2 linked regions of the Tamandua tetradactyla genome follow. The protein of the gene in region 1 interacts with the protein of each later gene in a pairwise test. Links are inferred from orthologs where the notes say so. Each region holds a gene or a part of one and is shown in the gene's direction. Other genes may lie near its edges.

Region 1 (9,975 bases):
CCATATGAATAGTTCATTAGCTGTGATCCTTGGCCCACCATGAATTACAAAAGATATTCCTACAGAGAAATTCTAAAGATTCAGAGATTCCATTCCCTGCAAGTGGGGACAAAGACCAGCCAAGTTTGTATTTATGCTAACTTTCCTTGATAGCATTCAACATTCAACACATTTTAACTTTGCTTGTGTCTATTTTTTTATTGACATGTACCCTCTCCTATCCTCTACCTTTAAAATCAAAACATAAGCCAAGTAAGAACAGAGATTTTCAGATGTCTCGTTCGCCAAAGTGTCCCCAGCACCCTGTTGAGTATATCTGGCATACAATAGGTAGGAAAGGCTGCCTGCTCCAGGTCATAGGACTGGAAGCAACAGGTCAAGCTGGAGTCTTACAATAGAGTTTATGCTTTTAACTACTAGGCTTCATTCCCCTCACATTTCTTTCTCCTTGGGCCCTGGTAATCCTCCTCTCTTTATCTATCTATACTTCCCTCCTTCTCCTACTCTGGGAACATTCCCCAAAGAAACACAGAGAAGCCCTCCCTGCAGTGGAATCTGGATGATGTCAGGCATTTCTGGAACAGCTGTTAAAACTCATACAGCAATTAGGCAGACAGTGCAAGTTCTGAACACTATCCTGAATGATCACTGGCCACCAAATATCAGAATGCCCACCACTCTGGCCATCCTCATGTCTCCTTGCATCCAGAGTAGGCTGTCCTAACCAGCTCAGACACAGGTACCTGTGGTTTGCTTAAAGCCCTCTGGATAGGGAGTTTCCAAAATACCTCTTTTAAGACATAAAGGGTTGCCTTTGCAGTTTCTGCCTGTTTAGCACTTCAGCCACTTGAAGTGGCCCTGGAAGACAGAGAGCCCTCAGTCCTCAGTCTACAAATGGACAAACCCATTCTCAAACTTCTTTGCAGCTCTGAACCGAGCTCTGTACTAAGCAAAAAGAAACCTAGGATTTCAAGTAAGAGTTTCCTGTGATCAGGGAAGGCAGAGACTGGTGAGAAGAGAGGTGGTGAGGCATTTGGAGAGTGAGGTAGCTGACAAGGATGGGAGGGTTGGCAAGTGAGAAGACCCAGGAGAAAATCCAACCGCCCCTGGGGGTAGGGATTCCCTCTGAGCCCAGGTTACTGATCCAGAGTCCTGCTACTCACCTAGTTTGCCCAGCAGCATCTGGCCTACATCCTTGATCTCATTATACTCGTGCAGCTGTAAAATGTGGTCCTCTAATTCATCCACACTGTAGCCTCTAGAAAGAAGGGTGGAGAGAGGGAAGAGAGACCCCTTAAGATAGCTAATGAGGACTCAAGGCTCAGATAGTAATGAAGCATCTGTTTAAAAAGTGCTTGTTATGGGTCTACTAGGTGATAGGAACTGGGGATATAGTGATGGCAAGACAGACCCTGCTACCATGAAGCTTAATGGATGGCAGGGTCTCTGTCCAGTCTCTTACTCCTGGCAAATGTTTCTTGTATCCTTAGAGAGGAGTGCCCCATCATATTAGTACTATGTGACCCTCACCACAGCTGAGTGGCTCACAGATGGGCACATGATCCAAGCTGTCTAGTGAGATTCTCTCAAATATGAAATGTGGATTTGAAGTCTGCTCAATCTCTGCCATGGGGCTGCAGCATGGTATAATGTAAAATCCAGGAGCTATAGAACATCCAGTTTCCCTTATGCATTGAAAACCTTGCTGAAGAAAGAGACTAGAGTATCTGTGCAGATGGATGCAGACGAAGAGAATGGGAGCCCAAGAGAGAGACCGGAAGAGTGACTGACTCCACTCCTGACAGCTTTCCAGTTTCCAGTTCTGGGCTCTCCTGAGGCCGACCAGCCTCCCTGCCCTGAAGGCCACTGAGTCACCATGAATCCAACAGCACAGTCCTGTTTTTACGCTAAGCTAGTGTGACCAAGTTTCAGTTACTGGGCACAAATCAAAAGTTTTCTTAACCATGTCGAGGAATCCAGCAAAGGGGACTTACTCAGATAATAGTTGGGAGATCTCCTTGTCCAACATGTCCCTCTTCTCTTTCAGCTTCTGAATGTCAAGCTGAAGAGAATCCTCGCTGGCTCCATTGGCCGGGTCAGACTTGGGAGACAGCATCTGAGTGGCAGAAAGTCATTAACTGGACTGGCCAATTATCTGTAATTCTGAGTCTACAAAGTGCCTCCCCCATTAATCACTCTACTTTTTTGTCGTGGTAATAGAAACCTACCTCCCTATTGAATGGGACTATATTTCCCAGCCCCCTTTAGGATTAGATGAGCCCTATGACTACATTCTGGCAAATGGAAGGCAATCAGAAATGGTGTATACAATATCTGGGAATCATCCTTCGAGGCAGAAGGCATGCCTTTCTCTGGCTTTTCCTCTTACCTACAGGCTGGAATGCAGATGTAATGCTGGTGTTGAACAACTATCTTGGAAGATGACATAGAAGCCATACATTGAAGTCATGGCAGGACAAGATAGAGGCATGGGTACTTAGTGATTTTTTTTTTCCACATGGGCAGGCACTGGGAATCAAACCCAGGTCTCTGGCATGGCAGATGAGAAGTCTGCCACTGAGCCACCATTGCCTGCCTCTTAGTGATTTTTAAGTCACTGTTATCTGGAGCTTTCTTTCACTCTCAGGCAAGTCCAATCCTAACTAATATACCTACCCTATTCCTCAATCTGACCCAAAAAATTCCGTTTCTGGTCACCTTCTTGGGTTCTCAAATCTGCTATGTCCCTGGAATTATAATCTCACTGGAGGGCAAAATACTTTCTAGGAGCTAGTTTTATCTTTGTCCTTTTTGTCCCTAAAGGCTGTGAAGGCTAATCTCAAAACAATTTGTTTTACGTGAAGTGTCTAGACAGAAGAGAATAAGGAAGACATGGTTCCTGTTCTTAGATCTGTGGCTTTTAACCAACAAATAGTGACAGCATTATCTGCCAGGCATTGGGAAAAGCTCCAGGAGCTTAACAATGGACAAGGCATCAAGCCTGGTCTTGTCTTCATGAAACATCAAGCCTGGCCCCAGATAGAAAAGACCAAACAATTATGCCCTTCCTCCAGACATTTCCACTGAAACTTGTTCTCACATGTCACTGCATACACTCTGTCTACAACGATAACTCCTCAATCACTTGTTATCCTTTACCCTGACTTTTTATAGCATTATCACCACCTGACATAAACATTTCATCAATGTTACTACTTTCATTGTCTGCCTTAAACCACTAGAGTATAAGCTCCATGAAGACAGGGACTTTCATTTGTTCAAAGCTGATTCCATAGTGTCTGTGACTGTACCTGTCACATAAAGAAGCACCCAATATTTGTCAGATGAATGACATATAATTAATCAACTAATTACAAGTCTAAAAAGTGTCCTGAAGTGGAAGCACAGGGTGAATCAGCTGAGCCAAAAGTGGGGAGAATGCTGAGAAAGCTGAATCCTGAAAGTATGGAGAAGGCTAAGAAAGCTGAATACGGAGGGATGAGCAAGCAAAAAGATGGCAAAAGAAAAGGATGGAAGAAAGGATTCCAGACAGAGGGGACAGTATATCCAAAGGTCCTTAGCCAGGGGACAGCACAATGTGTTTGAGAACTGAGAGTGGTTTCAGTGTGGGTGGAATGGGGTGGGTGAAGGGATAATAAAAGTGCTGTGAAAAATAATAAAAATAATTAACTGTGGTGCCATTAATAAGGAGGAGAGACAGTTTGAGTGACTAGGGGACCACTGATGTGAGGATGGTTGGAAAGGAAAGTAGAGGTATCCTGCTGGCAGCTGTTAAGTGTCCAGAGAGGTCCGGCCTAGAGAGAGATGGGAGAATCATCTGCACTGACATGAGCTGAAAGCACTGAAGTGAGATCTTTGAGGGAGTGTGTAGAAAAAACAATAGAGGGAGGATGGTGGAACCACAAGAATACACCCAAATTCATGTTAAGGAAGAAACAGGAGGCAGAGGAGCCAGCCAAGCAAGCAAGGAAAAACAGAGGAGGATCAGGATAAGGTATCTTCCAAAGAGGCCCAAAGAAGGTATTAGTTAAGAGCTAAGGATCTAGAGTCAGGCTGCCTCAGTTTAAATGCTGCAACTCCATCACTCCCAGGACTGTGAGATTTATAATCTCTCTGGAACTCAGAGTCCTCATCCGCTTCTGCCTCAAAGGTTGTTGAAAGGATTCAGCAAGATGAATCAACCACAATGATTGAGGCAAAGTAAGGGCTTAGTAAAATAAAAGACTTGACTTGTTAGTGATGGGAATGAATGTGCTAGGCAGAATCAGAAGACACAGGGAGGTCAAAGACAATGAATACTGAGACTCTCTGAAAGAAAGTAACATCAGGGTACTTTTAGAGAGAGGGTCAATCAACCTGGTACTTTTGGTGAACTTGTGGCTTCCCACCCACATCATCTGGCCTAATCTACCCTGTCAGTTAGCCCTTGCCTCTGACTTCACTACCACTGGGGAGCTCTCACTGCACTCCTAAGTCTGGGCTCCTCCTCACATAAATGTGCTCATATGGTCCTGGAATTCTGCCTGTTCATCATCCTCAGCCTGTGCCTCCTTGGGAGGCAGGGACTACCGCATACACTTGCATCCCTGATGCCAGCCTCAGAGCAGTTGCTTAATCAATGTTGAACGCATAAATGTGTACCAAGTATTTCACAGTCTAACTTGAGAGTGGGGGAAGTGGTGGGAATCCCATGGGGCAGGGGTGGGGTGGGGTGGGGGAGATAAGGGGAGAAGGCAAAGGAGGTCATGTTTTGGGGGTGGTTTGCTAGAGAAGAGGAGACAATTGCAGCTATGCCTGTTCCCGACAGAAGAGTTTTGGGTATGTTTAAAGGTAGGGCTGGGTGAAGGGAGAAACCAGTGAGCAGGTGAGTTGGCTGGTGCCAGAGACCAGCAAATACATCTGGGAGGCAGGGAGAGGGCAGGGCGGAGGGGATTCCAGCCACTAGCACAGAATTTGGCTTCTGACAGGACAGGACAATGATTCCCCCCCCCAAACTTAGCAGACAGGAGGAAAAAATGTGTGTAGGGGTGAGAAGATGAGGGATTGAGAAATACCCTGGAGTTTCTCGGCAGAATAAGGTCTGAGAGGGAAGATCTTTGCCTTTCTTCTGGCCGAAGCCAGTCGGTTCTGTCGGGTTTCTTCCGACCCCGCGGGGAAGGGAGGGGGACGGAGGGTGGGGCCACATCATCCAGTCCCAGCAGCCACTGCGAACCAACCGCTGGATGAGGGCTAGGAGTAGATCACCTGCCGCTGAGGACGGAGAGGAGGGCAAGAGGTAGTTAGGTACGAGTGTAGGGGGGGCGGGGGCACAGACATACTCACAGGGGATCTGAAGGTCCCGCGGCAACTAGTGGAAAGTCCTGGTTGAGTCCTGGAGAGGAATCTGAGGAAAAAAACTAGTTAGACTTCACGGGTGCTCTGGGAGGAAAGGGTGCTGTGGGGTTGTGGGAGGAAGAGCAGATGTGAAGTAAAAGCGACCCGAACTGGATCCAGCTGGGAGGGGTAGCGATATACTCACGAGATTAGGGTAGGTACCGGACCCTCGAGGAAGGGGAGGGTCCCAGATGGGGAGGGAGTGTCTGGTGGGGCGGTGGAGCGGGGTTTTGAGAGGGTGAGAAAGTCTGGAACCGTTGCGGAGTCAGGAGAAGGGCTGTGAGGGATTGAGCCTTCCCCTTTCTCCGCTCCTCGCCTACCTCCTGAGCCCAGGAGTCCGGGGTCCCCGGCTAGGGGGAGTCTGCGGTGGGGGAGGGTCCAGGACTAGAGCTGGAGATGGGTCTTAGATCTGAGGAGTAACGGTAACCCGGAGTGGGAAATGAACCGCCATAATGAGACCTGCGCGCGCACCCTGGAAAGGCGGGTCCGCCCCACCTCAGAGTAGGAGGAGGTAGCGGTTGCGCCCCGCCCCCAGGGTGGGAGGAGACGTCTGTTGGGCCCCGCCCCTCCAAGGCGGGCGGAGACAACGGTCGCGCCCCTCCCCCCAAAGTGGGCGGAGACGTGACTCCGCGAGGATCTTTCATTGTGAGCACACCCTCCCGGCCACGCCCACAGTGATATGGCCCCGCCCCTTTCCGTGTCATCTTTCTCCTCGCCCAATGGACGGGGAGATTTAGGCCACGCCCACATTCTATGCTGCTTAGTACCTCCCTGGTCCCTCCCTTCCCTGGCTCAGTCACACATCGGCGCGGTAGCTAGCGGAAGCGATTTCGCAGTGGCTGCTGGGATTAGATGATGTGGCTCCCCCGTCCCCCTCCCCTTCCCGAGATGTCGGAAGAAACCCGACAGCAGAAATTGGCTTCGGCCAGAAAGAAGGTAAAGCGCGCTGGGTCGCGGCTCCCGACCCAGCCCGGAGGCCCCTCCGACCCACCACACGGTGACCAGAGTCTGAACTGCCCCTGAGGCAAACGGGAAGAGCCCCTCGGCTCCCCTTGGCGCCCCTCTCGTCTTTTCAGCCAGTCCCGCCCCCTCGGCTGCCTAGCTCCCGCCCTCGCCCGTCGCTCCTGGGTGACTTTGGGCCGGTGACCCCCAGGATCCCTGCTCTGAGCGGGGCTCTCGGGTCCTGCTGCCCAGAACCGAGCCACCGTGGGCTCTTGGCCAGCTTGGGTTCCCGGTCTCCTGGGACCTCGGTCCCGGCGCTGGTCTCCCCTCCCCCACCGCCGAGCGGTGACTCGGAGGAGGGTAGGGAGAGATGGAATGCAGTTACGTCACAGTCCCCCTCGGAGCTGTCATTATCGCCATGGGACCAGCCTTTGATCTTCCGATCCGATCCCCAGTGTTCACCCCTTTCCGGCTTCTCTGGTCGCGGAGCAGATTACCAGCTTGAAGGGAACTCGGGACTGTGGGACATAGGCAGAGAGGTTTCAGGCTCCCATACTTTGGCTATACCGCATCCTTAGACATTGACAGCCCACACTTCACCGCTGATCTCAAAATGTTTACAACATCGCTTGGTGACAAGGGGAGAGCTTACTGTTGGCTTTTTCTCCCAGGCTTCTACTCTCCAGAGAGACTTTGAAATATTTCTTGTTGTCTACCTCACATTCTAATACCCTAAGATTCTGGGACCAGACTCCCCCTCATTTGATGCTCTTTAGAGTAAGATCTGCTTATCTTCTGTGCTATAGATCCTGGGAAAATGCATGAATTTCACTATTGGGAATCTTCTTCATGTCATCTTCTTGACTTAGGGTTCTCTGAAGTGTGCTTACTGTATGAAGTATAGAAAGGATCCCTATATCTAATTTCTAAATCATACAGTGTATTGGTCTTGCCCATTTAATAATTACTTTTCGATGTCCATCTCTGGTTTTTCCCCTTGGCAGCTATTGATTATGGGAGAACCCCAGAACTTCTAAGTCAAAAATTTAAATAACTTTTTTTTAAGCCATGTTACCTATCACTTGACTTTTTTGAGTCCATTTCTTCGGTAATTAAACGAAAATTATACACCCTGTAGAGTTGGTGTGGCATTAAATCAGATTGCATCCAGGGGCTTAGATTTCTCATGAGCGTCTCTCCTTTTCCTTTCTGCAGTTACGCGAATTTCAGATGAAAAACAATCTTCCTGTTCCTCCAAGAGTGAAGAAAAAAAAGATAGAAAATGGTCCTGAAACACCAACTTCTGATGACCACTCACCTGAGGATGTGAGTCTTGGCTGGCCAGGCTTCCGGGGATAGGGATGCAGAAAGAGCAGTAGAGGAGAAGGGTTAAGATTATGGAAGAGGAAGTATTAAGTGCTAGTTAAGAATTCTGACTTTGTCTTCCTCTGCTAAGGATGTGGTTTTAGAAAAATTGTTCAAGCTCTTTGGGACTGTTTTTGCACATCTGTAAAATAGAGATACTGTTTTATTTATATATTGTGAAGTTTAAATGAGAATTGTTGCTGTTTTTATAAAAGTCCTTAAGTACAGGGTCTGGTACAGAGTAAATATTCAATAAATGGTAGTTTCCATTTGACCTGTTGCTCTGGTGATTTTCCTCATTCCCAGCCTCAGTGAGAAGCCAAGCTGATGAGAACAGCCACTTGCTGTCAGGTTCTCCCTTTAGAAAGTCCCAACAGAGCCCCAAGGTGTGATGAAGAAAGCCCCAGCCACTAGGATTAGGAGAAGGTCTGAGTTCCGAGTCTCTTTGCCACCAGTTTGCCTTCAGAAAATCTCTTCCTCCCCTGAGCCTCATTTCCTCATCTGTAAGATGATATTGCTGGACTAGAGCAGCATCTTTCAAACTTTTTTTAGCTGTAGCTCCCTTTGTTCAAATGAACCCTTACTCAAAAGTGTGTTTCCCCCCCGTCTATGTGACTGCTTAATTTAGTGAACTTCTCCATTTATTTGTGTACATTGATTTCTGCCTCTGGCAAGACAGCAAGTGGCTGTTTGGAAGGACGGCACAGCCTGCGGTATTGATCCCCTCCTGTATCTTCTTCAGCATCCCATTTCCCTGAACCCACCTCTTCTTCGCTGTCCTGACTCTTACCTCTTTCTAAGTCACTTCTCTCTTTCTCCCCCCTCCCCCTATTTTCCTCCTTTGCTGCCTGTAGATTCAGGACTTTCTGAAGGTGTTGGTGTCCGACCTTAACCGCTCCAATGGGGTAGCACTACCCTCATTGGACAAGTGGAAGGTGAGGCAGTGCCAAGACCCCCTCTCTGGCTTGCTCTCTCCGCCTGTGCATGCTCCTGAGGCTTTTCTGGTTTGGGGAATTCTTTACTTCTAGCTTATTTTATGTTGCTGTCATTAACCTTCAGCCTGCTCATATCTTTTCACCTGCTTGATTGTTTTTTTCCCTTCCCCCAAGTCTTTTATCACCTTGGAGAAGGTGGTAGTGTATCTTAGGTAATTTAGGAATAACTTTCAGAGCAGGGATATAAGCTATTTGGGCCTCGGTATTGAATGTCCAGTGGTGCTATCAGACTAGGAGAGATTTTTTAAAAATCTTTGTCTTGCCCTTAGATCATCTATTCCTAGGGGGCCAGTAGACCACAAAGATGTTTGTGATTTTTCGAATTGAGGAATTCTTTTTGGTTTGAGTGTAGGAAATATATGGGTAAGAGATTATAGCTGAAAGAATTGAGGTTCTTTTTTCAGAAGAGCTCATTGTAAAGGCTGTGAGGTTAACCAAACAGATGAGTGGTTAGGATCTTCTGCTCCCAGTCTTTTCTAAAAATCACCTGAGCACTCAGCCATGTTCATTGGGCCATGCACTTTGCTAAACAGTGGAGAAAACAGATAAACAAGACGTGGTACACACTGAGGGAAGTAGGCCCCTCTGAAGTAAGTGAGGTAGAATGTGACAACATTACAAATGGTCAGTTAAAGTAGAGGTTAGTTCTGGATGGGCTTGAGGATGGAGGAAATGGCATTTGGTGCTGGTTTGAAGGGTAAAGGTGGGTAGTTTTCATCCATGTGGAGAGTGGGGGAGATAGGAATTCTAAGCACAGGGAGTAGTACAGGTAATGACTGGAATCATAAGCTCACAGGGCACCTTCCAGGAAGCCAGGGCCTGGAGTGGTGCAGGGTATCGGGGGTGCATAGGGCTAGGAGATGATCTCTGACCTCTTCCAGATGTGATGTTAGCACTCCCTCCTTAACTAACTTACCTGAGAGACATCTGCCAAGGCATAATAGAAGGGCTGTTTGAGGTTTCCCCATGAGGCATGAGGAAAGGGACTGAGAAAGGTTACTATCAGCTGGTGTTAGAAAGATTTTTTAAATCACAGGACTGTTCACACCCAGTTGGTCAGGTCTATCAAGCTGTTGTGACTTGCCTGGTTGATTTAGAGGAGAGGTGGCATGGCATGATGAGGGAAGCGCAGTGCTAGGATTCATGAATCCATGTGTTTTGCTTTTGTTGTGTGATGATCCAGTCATTTAGGGGATCTGGCACCTCAGGTCCTCATGAAGTTCTCAGAAGCCAGAGTCTTAGGGTCCAGAGAGAAAGCAGCCCTTTCTTCTGACACAGA
Region 2 (9,990 bases), on another chromosome or scaffold:
TAAAGAATCTGGACTCTCAAACGGTGGCTTCTAGACAGCACTGCCCCCTGATGCTTTCACATCACTCTAGGCCCATTTTGTGCAGAGCAGACTCTGTACAGGCTGACCATCCCCTTAGGGATGGCTCACCTGCATGTTTAGCGAATTCTCCATTCACACTGGTAGGAGCCTGAAGCATTCTTCTGAAGAAAAGCCACAGCATTCCTTTCACACACAGGCCTCCACCAGAAACATATGGAAATAATGGGAAATCACCCCTTTCCCATCCCTGTTCTGAGCACCAACCCTCCCTCTACATGCCTTTTCTTGGCTTCTCTGCAGAAACACTGTGCCCCAGTTCTGGCAAAGCTGCGCCCTCCGCCTGACAACCAGGATGCCTATCGGACAGAATTTGGGTCCCTTGGGCCCCTTCTCTGCTCCCATGTGGTCAAGGCCCGGGCTCAGGCTGCTCTGCAGGCTCAGCAGGTCAACAGGACTACACTGACCATCACCCAGGTCAGTGCCAGAGGGAGGGGGAGCAACCAAGTGGAAAAGAAGATGAGAGGAAATTAGAAAATGCTGGGGCATGACAGAGCTGTGATCCTTGCCAGGCCTGGGACTCACACACACACTCTGACACAAGCAGTCACTTTAAATTTTAAATTCCAGAGCTGTCCAACTCTGAGTCCAGGCTTCCTTAGTATATATGCCCCGCCCCCAGATGGGAACCAGAGCAGCAGCAAGAGGAGCCCAGGTGTTTCCTCGCCTTTTTTCTCTTGGGTTTTGATAGTCTCGCCTCTTCTTCCTATAGCCCCGGCCCACGCTGACCCTCTCCCAGGCACCTCAGCCTGGCCCTCGTACCCCTGGTTTGCTAAAGGTCCCTGGCTCTATTGCACTGCCTGTCCAGACACTGGTGTCTGCACGAGCTGCTGCCCCTCCTCAGCCTTCTCCTCCTCCAACCAAGTTTATTGTAATGTCATCATCCTCCAGTGCCTCATCCACCCAACAGGTATGTGGAGGTTGTTGGGGCAAGGGGTCTGGGTCACCCCAAAGCACCCTGGAGGGCCCCAAAGACAGAAGATGAAAGGGGCCCTTTGTGGGGTGCTGTGGAACCATCACTGCTTGGCCTGACATGGTCCCTGAGCTGGCAGTACTTTGTGAAGTGGACTATGACCCCTGGCTTCTGGGGAAAGAACCTCTGGTCAGAGGGCTCAAGGCCCTGCCTTTTCTTTCTTCTCCTAGGTCCTGTCCCTCAGCACCTCGGCCCCAGGCTCAGGCTCTACCACTACCTCTCCTGTCACCACCACAGTCCCCAGTGTCCAGCCCATTGTTAAGCTGGTCTCCACGGCCACCACTGCACCACCCAGCACTGCTCCCTCTGGACCAGGCAGTGTCCAGAAGTACATTGTGGTCTCTCTTCCCCCAACAGGGGAGGGCAAAGGAGGTCCCACCTCCCACCCTTCTCCTGTTCCTCCTCCCTCATCATCCCCTTCCCCCCTTGGGAGCAGTGCCCTCTGTGGGGGGAAGCAGGAAGCTGGGGATAGTCCCCCTCCAGCCCCAGGAACTCCAAAGGCCAATGGCTCCCAGCCCCCTGGATCTGGCTCCCCACAGCCTGCTCCTTGATGCTGTCATTTATCTGCTGTCTTCTACAGATTCCTACGTGCACACATACACACACACACACGTTGAGTGGAAAGAAGTAGTAGCCTACTTCCTTCATTTCCCTTTCTTTTTAGATATTGTACAGCCAGTTCCTCAGAATAAAAGTTTGGTTTGGTAAGTTCTGATCCACCTCAGTCTTTCCTGTGTTAGACACCACATAAGCCTCAAACCCATCAATCCTTCCTGATCTCTCAGGTCCCAGGACTCTCCCAGTCCAGATCCACAACCACAGGCCAGGAGCCTGGACCATACTTTGCTGCCTGCGTCCTCATCTGGGGATCCTCAGAGCCGGATGACGTAGGCATCGCTGTGGCTTAGGTGCCGCACCCACTTGTGGGGGTTGATGTTGCCACAGGGTCTGAAGGAAAGCCTGAGGAAGCGCACCTGGAGGCCAGAGCAGGTGTGCCGGGGAAGCTCAAAGGAGAGGCTTGCAGGGCCCAGCCCCAGAGGAGGATTCGGGGTGGAGGGCCCATGGCCAGGAGGCCCAGAGAGGCCTGGGACATCCATCTGTGAGGAGAGACAGGAGAGGAGTGCTGAAGGTTGGAGGGGAGCTGGCAGAGAGCCAAGAAGTGAGCACACTAACCACAGTGGAGGAACAAAACAGCAACTCTGGAGGCATGGTCAGGGCTGGAAATGGAGGCTGTGGGAGAGGCTGTTCAAGAACCAAGAGCTGATACCTGGAAAAGGCCTGAGAGCTGAGAGCCTCCTTGAACACGAGGTAGGTCCCAGCGAAGGGCTCCCTCCCCCAGCTCTGCCTTCTGTTCCGGGCTGCTCAGCTCCTGAGAAAGGCTGAGATTTGGAAAGGAAAGGGATTGGGCTCAGCCTGCACTTTCCTGGGATGGGGGTAGGGGGGCTGCAGGCAAGTTGTGCCCTCCTCCTACAGCACATCCTGCCGTCCACCCAGCTCCCTGTAGTGTGTACATGCTAACCTGATCACCCCTCGCGGCAGGGGAAGGTGCAGTCTGACGTTGAGTGCTTGGCTACAAAGGAGAAATGAATGACATGTGGGAGACTTGGTTTAATTCCCAGCCCATGCACCAAAAAAAAAAAAAAGAAATGAACGAAGTCAAGAAGGTAGAGTCAGCTTACCCCCATCTTTCTTTAAGGTCACACCTGGACATCAGCCACCCCATCCCCTTCCCAAACTCAAAGAGCCTCTAAATGAATTGGTTTCTGAGGCTGGTGGATGAAGGAAGAGGCAATGGGTATCTTCGCCCTGGCTCCTATGCCACAAAGCTGCACTAGCCCCAGTCAGCCCTAACTCCTACCTCTTTGCAGGCAGGTCACACCGTAACTTCAGGTAAACCTGGAGCCTGGGTGAAAGAATAAAACAGCACTACTTAGGACACTTCCTACCAGCACCTCACCATTCCCTACCTAGGGCCTCCACACATGGCTGTGTAGATTGTGAGCTGTGCCCCAGGAGAAGGGATGCTGACTGGGACCCAACCTGATTCCACTAGATAAGCCTTGCATATGTGGGGCTGAGTCCACTTGGGAGGGGTGCCCTCTGCTGATCTGCACTCCCTCACCACCATCTCTCCATAAGAAGACTGGAGGATATACGAGTATGGGCTTGAATCCCAAAGAAGTTCTAGAACAGGGAAAACAGTCTCACCTGCCTGAGCCTCGATCCCACTGCACAGAGGGAAAAAGCCGGAAGGGGAGAGGGGTGGGAAGGTCATCGGAGAGCTGGTATCGCATCACAGTCAGCTGCAACCAGAGAGGAGCAGAGATCAGTTTGGTCTCCTCACACCTGAACTGCCTCTCCATACTGGACAGAATATGCTGGGCCACCCATCCTGACCTCGCCTTGAGGTGGCTGCAAGCGCAGGATTCGATGAGATTCAAACTCATCCAGATGCACAGAACTGTGAAATGAGACCTCATCGACCCGAATTCCTGGCCCGTAACCTGGAAAGACAGACCCCTCTCTTAACCTACTTTGGGAGAGAAAAACAGGGAAGGGCCATCTCTCAGACCCAAATGCCCTTGCCTGGGCCTGATCTAAACCAATCCAACTTCTACGAGATCTTTGGCAGTGACCTATACTAACAGAGAAAGACCCACATTCTCCTCACCTCTCAGTTCTGATTTCCCCACACAAAATTCTTCTGTCAATCCGATGCGCAGCTCTGTCAGAAGAGAAAATACTAGGAAAGTCACCAAACACAAGTGCCACCAAGGAGCCTGTCCCACCCAGGCCTGGGGCCAATCTGCAGAGTCTCACCAGAGCCGCTAGGAAGGAAGCTCTTGAGTCGGATCTCCCCCTGCACGTCCACCTTCAGCAGTGAACCCTGAGAGAGGCAAGGCAGGGAGATTATAAAGCCCAGAACTGTGACCTCCCCAACATGTCTCTCGAGTGCCATCTGTCCTCAGTTCCAGAGTATGGGGTCCAAACTTACATTAGATGCTATCAGTACAGACAGTCTCTCCACCACATCCAAAAAAACTTCATTCTTCTGACTCTGAGGAATAGAGAAGATTTAGGTGGTTGGAGGCTGAACAGCCTGTGTTCCAAGATGGACAGACAGGAAGGACTGGAGAGTTGAGGCTAGGGCCTGGGGTTGGAGACTTGGGGTGAAGGAAGGGAAGGGCAGGATGTCTAGAGGAGGTGCAAGGATATGTAGGGATCTGGGACTCTGGTCCCCAGAAAATAAAAGAAGGGTCTGACCCTGCCAAGCCCTCCCTCACCTGGTCAGAGCGACTGGTGAGAACAGGGCGGCTGGCTGCGCTGCTGGGAGCCACCTTGCTCTGTTGTGTCTCAGCTCCAAACTGCAAAGCACCCAAAGCAGTTATTCCTTTGGTTTGATATTCCTAGCCAGCCCTCCTTCTCTCTCCCTGTCTTCCTCGTGTATCCTCTACTGACCAGGCCAACACTGCTGAGATCAAATAGGCTGAAAGGCTTGCTGACCACAGCTTCTGTCTGGATGAAGTTCTTCAGTATCTCTGTTGAGGTGGTCTGTACATAACCATAGTCCTATTGGTGAAGGAAGGAGTTGTGCGTGGTCAGGAGGACAAGGGTGAGAAATGAGTGGACTTGGCATCCCAACAACAGGTTTCCACGGGTAGAAGAGTGAATCTATCCTCAGGAAAACAGCAGCCAACTGAGGGAAACCCTTGTCCTTACCAGCACTTCGTCCAGAAGCTCATAGACAAGAGCCACGTTGCGGGAGATGGTCCCTTCACTGAGAGAGCCACAGTAGTCACCCAGGAGAGTGGCTAACCTGAGGAAACAAAAGGAGTGTGCATCCTCTCTTTTCAGATCCCCCCCCCCCCGCCGGGGCCCGCCCACCACACCCACCGGGAGAGCAGCTCTAGGAGGCTGAAGGGAGAAATGTTTTCTGAAGTCGTGGCTACCAAATAGAGGCCGCTGTGTCTGATGTGAATAAAATGACGGTCATCGTGGTGCTGAGACAGAGGCGGGAAAAGAGTTTTAGGAAAATCGTGGAGGTGAAGAGCCGGCAACCCTGACTTCATATCCTGCTTCCCCTACTTACTAACAATGGGACTTTGGGCAATACATAAAACCTCCCCACGCCGCAGCTTCCCCTGTGTAATTGGGATTAATACCAAAGACATGTAAGGAACTGTGCCTGGTACACTGCTGGCGTTCATTCAACGTTCATTAGTACCATTTGGGTGTGGGAAACAGCCCTGGATTCAGGAAGGAGGAGACGCCCACCCGGCACCCCGCCGGGGCCCGCGGATGGTTACCATGACAACCGGAGACTCGTCTCCAGGCAGTCCCGTCAGCTTCCGGTAGAAGAGCTCGGCCACATCTCGGCCGCCACTATCCCCGCGGACTGAGTGGGTGGAAGCGGAGTTAAGGGGCCGGCGATGCAGGCGGACCCTGGAGCACTACTGCTCCCTCCCCGACCCTTCTGCCTTGTCCCGCCCCGCGGGTCAAGGATACAATCTTTGTAGATGAGCGGGTCCCCCTTGGAGGACAGAATGAAGAACTGGGAAATCATGGCCGATCTGGGAAGTAGACAAGAGGACAGCGAATCTTGGGCCTGCCCCGCCCTCGGCCACGAAACAAAAGGACGCGCCGGGTCTGGCCCTTTACTAGCGACGCTCCGGGGCCGCGCCCGCTGCGACCGCGGGAAACCCGGAGCCCGCCCCGCCCCGTCCCTGACTGCCCGCCTGCCACTCTGCACAGGCTCGTCCGGTGATTGGCTGAGGCTGTGGCCCGCCGCGGGGGAGAGGGGCGGGAGGCCGTCGGCTCCGATTGGCCCGCACAGAGCGGCGCGGATCACGTGGGGCGCGACGTTTCGCGCCAATTTCGGTTGTTCTGCCGCCGTCTAGCGTGTGGACGGTCTTTGCTGTCCCGGGAGCCAAAGTTCAGAGCCCGCCAACTGCTACCGCGCGGCCCTGGGCAGCGATGGCACTGAAGGACTACGCGCTAGAGAAAGGTGAGGGTTCATCGCCCTGGAAGGGCGTTTTGCACGAGAATCCTCACCGCCAAAACCCGCTGCCGCAAGCTGGGCTCTTGGGGGGCCGAGGGCGGCGGGGCTGAGGCAGGCGTTGTCGGGGAGGCGCACAGGGACCCTCGGGGGTCGAAGGGAGCTGGTAACCCTGGTGGGGCCGCGGTGGGGGTGGGGCGGTTAGCAAACTCAGGGATCCAGAGTGGGGATGGCGCACGGGTGAGACCCGAACGTCAGGTAGCCCTGCCTGGGCGATTCCAGCCACGGGGCCCGGGACCTTCGGACCCGTTTCCCGCCGGCTGTGGGCACTCACAGGTTCCCGCGTCCTTCCGAGACGCGCCGAAGCTCCGGGGGCGGGAACAGTAGGGCCGCTGCGCCCGCGGATTGGCCGCTGTGGGCCAGCCTCCGAGCGGAAGTGAAGACGGGACGGAAGTTGCGCGGCGCGGAGGGAGGGCGTGTCGTGTGTAAACAGTGTCCTTCCGCGCGGTAGCCTCGGAGAGAGCTACTTACGGTGGGGGCGTGCCTGGAATTAGGGGGCCTAGCGGGAGGTCGAAGGAGAAGGTAGTGGGATGGGACGAAGGGGCTTTGGATGTGCTGGCCAGTGGCCAGACATGCCTCCCGCCTTGGGCGGAGGAATCCTGGGCTGTGAGGCGGCTAGATTTGGGGCCCATGTGCTTCTTTGTTTACTAAGAGCGGAAGCAGTGGCGGGGAGAGGGGGTGGGGTGGAGGACGGGCCTAGTGGCTGAGAGCCCCGTGAGAGCAGAGATTTAGGGGACCGAGAGAAAGTGGGAATCACATGGGTGCAGGAAAAGCCGATAACCGAGAGACCCAAGTGTGTGGTAGGGCGTGGAAGGCAATTTGGAAAGGGTACTAAGGTTTCGAATTGTAGCAGATACTGGGATTCCCCTTGCGGAGAGTGTTGGGTAACACTCTTACCTGCCAGAGGTCCTTCATTCTACCAGGTAAGACCAGACTAATGCAAAGGAATTATGCACAGGTTTGGGAGAAACACGTAGATTTACTTAAAATTGTATATAAATAACTACTGGACATTTTAAGTAAAAGTGAGGTAGATTCCCAACAGAGGGTTTTGTAGTTAAGATACCTGAAAGAAAGGTTGTTCTTAATGATCTTACATTTACATTACAGAAAAAGCTAAGAAGTTTCTACAAGAGTTTTACCAGGATGAGGAATTTGGCAAGAAACAGTTCAAGTATGGGAACCAGTTGGTAAGTCTAAGATTAGATGTAGTGAATTGGGTATTGCTCTGTCTTAAAAGCTGCTCTTTATTCACTTTGCATGCCCAGAGCTGTTCCTTGAGCACATGGTGGTGGGTCCTCGTGTGAATACGGTGTATAAAGTAAACTAGGTTCTAAAGCATTGCTGTCCCTTTCCTTCCCAGGTCCAACTGGCTCATCGGGAACAAGTGGCCCTATACGTGGACCTGGATGATGTGGCCGAGGAGGACCCTGAGTTGGTGGACTCAATTTGTGAAAATGCCAAGCGCTATGCAAGGCTTTTTGCTGATGCCGTACAAGAGCTGTTGCCTCAGTATAAGGAGAGGGAGGTGAGTGGTTGGAGAAAAACGCAGGGTAAGGAACTTATGTTTCTGCCAAAAAGGTTCTCAGCTGGCAGAAAGGAGAGACTTTGGCTTCTGCCTGGGGTCCTTGATAGTCCTGTCTTTCCTCTTCTTGCCACTAATTTTTTGTCTTACTCCTTCCTTTAGGTGATAAATAAAGATGTCCTAGATGTTTACATTGAGCACAGGCTGATGATGGAGCAGCGGAGCCGGGACCCTGGAGCCACCCGAAGTCCCCAGAACCAGTACCCTCCTGAGCTTATGCGCAGATTGTGAGTGGTCTCTAGGGCTGGGTGTTAGAACTTGTTCTCCAGGACCCTACTAATGACTGCTTTCCCTACTTAGTGAGCTGTACTTTCAAGGTCCAAGCAGCAACAAACCTCGTGTGATCCGGGAAGTACGGGCTGACTCTGTGGGGAAATTGGTAACCGTGCGTGGAATTGTCACTCGTGTCTCTGAAGTCAAACCAAGGATGGTGGTGGCCACTTATACTTGTGACCAGTGTGGGGCAGAGACCTACCAGCCGGTATGTGAGGAATAGGAAGGCAATTAAGTCTTCGTAGTTTTTGTAAGGGTTGCTTTTGTCTCCTCCTCTCTGTGCTAATTGTAGAACATACCTGTGTGCTTGCTTTTCTCATTCTTTTCCTGGTATGAACAGTCCTGTGATTAAGGGGCTCTTTATCTTCTGGTTTTCTTTGGTCTTTTTCTCAAATCCTAGATCCAGTCTCCTACTTTCATGCCTCTGATCATGTGCCCAAGCCAGGAGTGCCAAACCAACCGCTCAGGAGGGCGGCTGTACCTGCAGACACGTGGCTCCAAATTCATCAAGTTCCAAGAGATGAAGATGCAGGAACATGTGAGTTTGGGTTGTTTGGCCTATAGCAGGTAGAGGAGAAAGTCCACTCTAACCCTGCAGATGCTAGAGTGGTAAAAAGAAAGGAGAAAAACAAGGAAAGCTAGAGCAGTAGGGAAATTAACTTTAGTCGGAAGTTTCTGATTGGGTTAGATAGAGGTAAGGGAGATCTTGGCTTCCCTCCTAGGCCCTTCTCAGGATGGTAGGTTGAGAGAAGTAGAGGAGCAGGATGCCTGGGCAGGAAGGTTAGGTCTCTCTGGGCTTACATTCTTTTCTTTTTGCTGTCCATATCCTTCCCCTCCCCTAGAGTGACCAAGTACCTGTGGGCCATATCCCTCGAAGCATCACAGTGTTGGTAGAAGGAGAGAACACAAGAATTGCCCAGCCTGGAGATCACGTCAGTGTCACTGGTATCTTCTTGCCAATCTTGCGCACTGGATTTCGGCAGGTAGTACAGGTAAGAAAAGAAGTTTAGAATAAGGGGGAAATGTTGCTTTTGCCCCCTCACCCAGTCACTCCTCCCCCACAGAAAAGATTACCAACAGCAGACACCGATGAAATAGTACAAAAGGTCTGTCAGGAAATTCTCGGGGAATCAATAGTAGATGAGTTAGTTAAAGGGATGTCACCAATATCCTGGTGTTTTCTTGCCCAAGGGTTTACTGTCAGAGACTTACATGGAAGCCCACCGGATTGTGAAGATGAGTAAGAACGATGATGATGAGGCCGGGGCTGGAGAACTGAGCAGGGAGGAGCTGAGGCAGATTGCAGGTGAGGGGCCAGGGGAAAGGTTGGGAGTTGGAGCTTCCTGGCCCTTTTTCTTTCCCAGTGAATTCTCTAATCTTCATTTTCCTATAGAGGAGGATTTCTATGAAAAACTGGCAGCCTCCATCGCCCCAGAGATATATGGGCATGAAGATGTGAAGAAGGCACTGTTGCTCCTACTGGTGGGAGGTGTGGACCAGTCTCCTCGAGGCATGAAGATCAGAGGTAGGAGAGACGAGGTAGGAGAGAGGCTGAGGTCAGTGTAGTCGTTGGGGGAGAAAAAGGAAGACATGGGCTGGTGTGCCTAGAGGCCACATATAAACAGTGCATGTCTTGGCTTTATTGGTTAGGATAGGCTTAGAAGAAACAATGCTGGCTCTCGGGGCTCTGGGCATGGATTTTATTTTCTCTGTTGTTGGATGACTTGCTCTGAGAGGTCACTTGGGGTCTTCTTCCCCTCCAGGCAACATCAACATCTGCCTAATGGGGGATCCTGGTGTGGCCAAATCTCAGCTCCTGTCTTATATCGATCGACTGGCCCCCCGCAGTGAGTAATCTGACCTAGGAGAAGTGAGTAGGGGGACAGGGCCACAGTATTGTTCTGTTCTGTGAGGAATCAGAAGATGGGAGTTGGGGGTGAAGAGGTCTTGGGGAGGGTTGCCAGTGCCAACACCCCCACATTATCAGACCACCTTGGGTCAGCCTGGGGTGGACAAAGAGTGACT

The links.
Region 2: the proteins of GOLGA2 (region 1) and MCM7 interact in binary tests that used the Homo sapiens proteins (3 or more experiments, as listed by UniProt). The two-hybrid records come from large-scale screens. The link is inferred for Tamandua tetradactyla from reciprocal best matches to the Homo sapiens genes GOLGA2 and MCM7.

Annotation. Positions count from the first base shown.
Region 1 is NC_135328.1:51,073,598-51,083,572, reverse strand, and holds the start of GOLGA2 (golgin subfamily A member 2), read left to right. Parts: upstream 1-6,178; 5' UTR 6,179-6,246; coding exon 6,247-6,330; intron 6,331-7,551; coding exon 7,552-7,662; intron 7,663-8,555; coding exon 8,556-8,636; intron 8,637-9,975. Other genes in the region: DNA repair protein SWI5 homolog, read right to left, coding at 1,164-1,258, 1,995-2,116, 5,076-5,225, 5,344-5,404, 5,540-5,755, 5,890-6,038. UniProt on the Homo sapiens protein: Peripheral membrane component of the cis-Golgi stack that acts as a membrane skeleton that maintains the structure of the Golgi apparatus, and as a vesicle thether that facilitates vesicle fusion to the Golgi membrane.
Region 2 is NC_135349.1:8,247,600-8,257,589, reverse strand, and holds the start of MCM7 (DNA replication licensing factor MCM7), read left to right. Parts: upstream 1-5,948; 5' UTR 5,949-6,025; coding exon 6,026-6,056; intron 6,057-6,381; exon of another isoform or gene 6,382-6,503; intron 6,504-6,559; exon of another isoform or gene 6,560-6,579; intron 6,580-6,978; exon of another isoform or gene 6,979-7,030; intron 7,031-7,217; coding exon 7,218-7,297; intron 7,298-7,470; coding exon 7,471-7,635; intron 7,636-7,794; coding exon 7,795-7,919; intron 7,920-7,992; coding exon 7,993-8,173; intron 8,174-8,365; coding exon 8,366-8,503; intron 8,504-8,807; coding exon 8,808-8,957; intron 8,958-9,156; coding exon 9,157-9,271; intron 9,272-9,358; coding exon 9,359-9,490; intron 9,491-9,728; coding exon 9,729-9,812; intron 9,813-9,990. Other genes in the region: TAF6 (transcription initiation factor TFIID subunit 6), read left to right, coding at 322-495, 791-988, 1,222-1,602; AP4M1 (AP-4 complex subunit mu-1), read right to left, coding at 1,924-2,148, 2,319-2,430, 2,571-2,621, 2,910-2,954, 3,260-3,354, 3,449-3,555, 3,723-3,776, 3,872-3,938 and 7 more. UniProt on the Homo sapiens protein: Acts as a component of the MCM2-7 complex (MCM complex) which is the replicative helicase essential for 'once per cell cycle' DNA replication initiation and elongation in eukaryotic cells.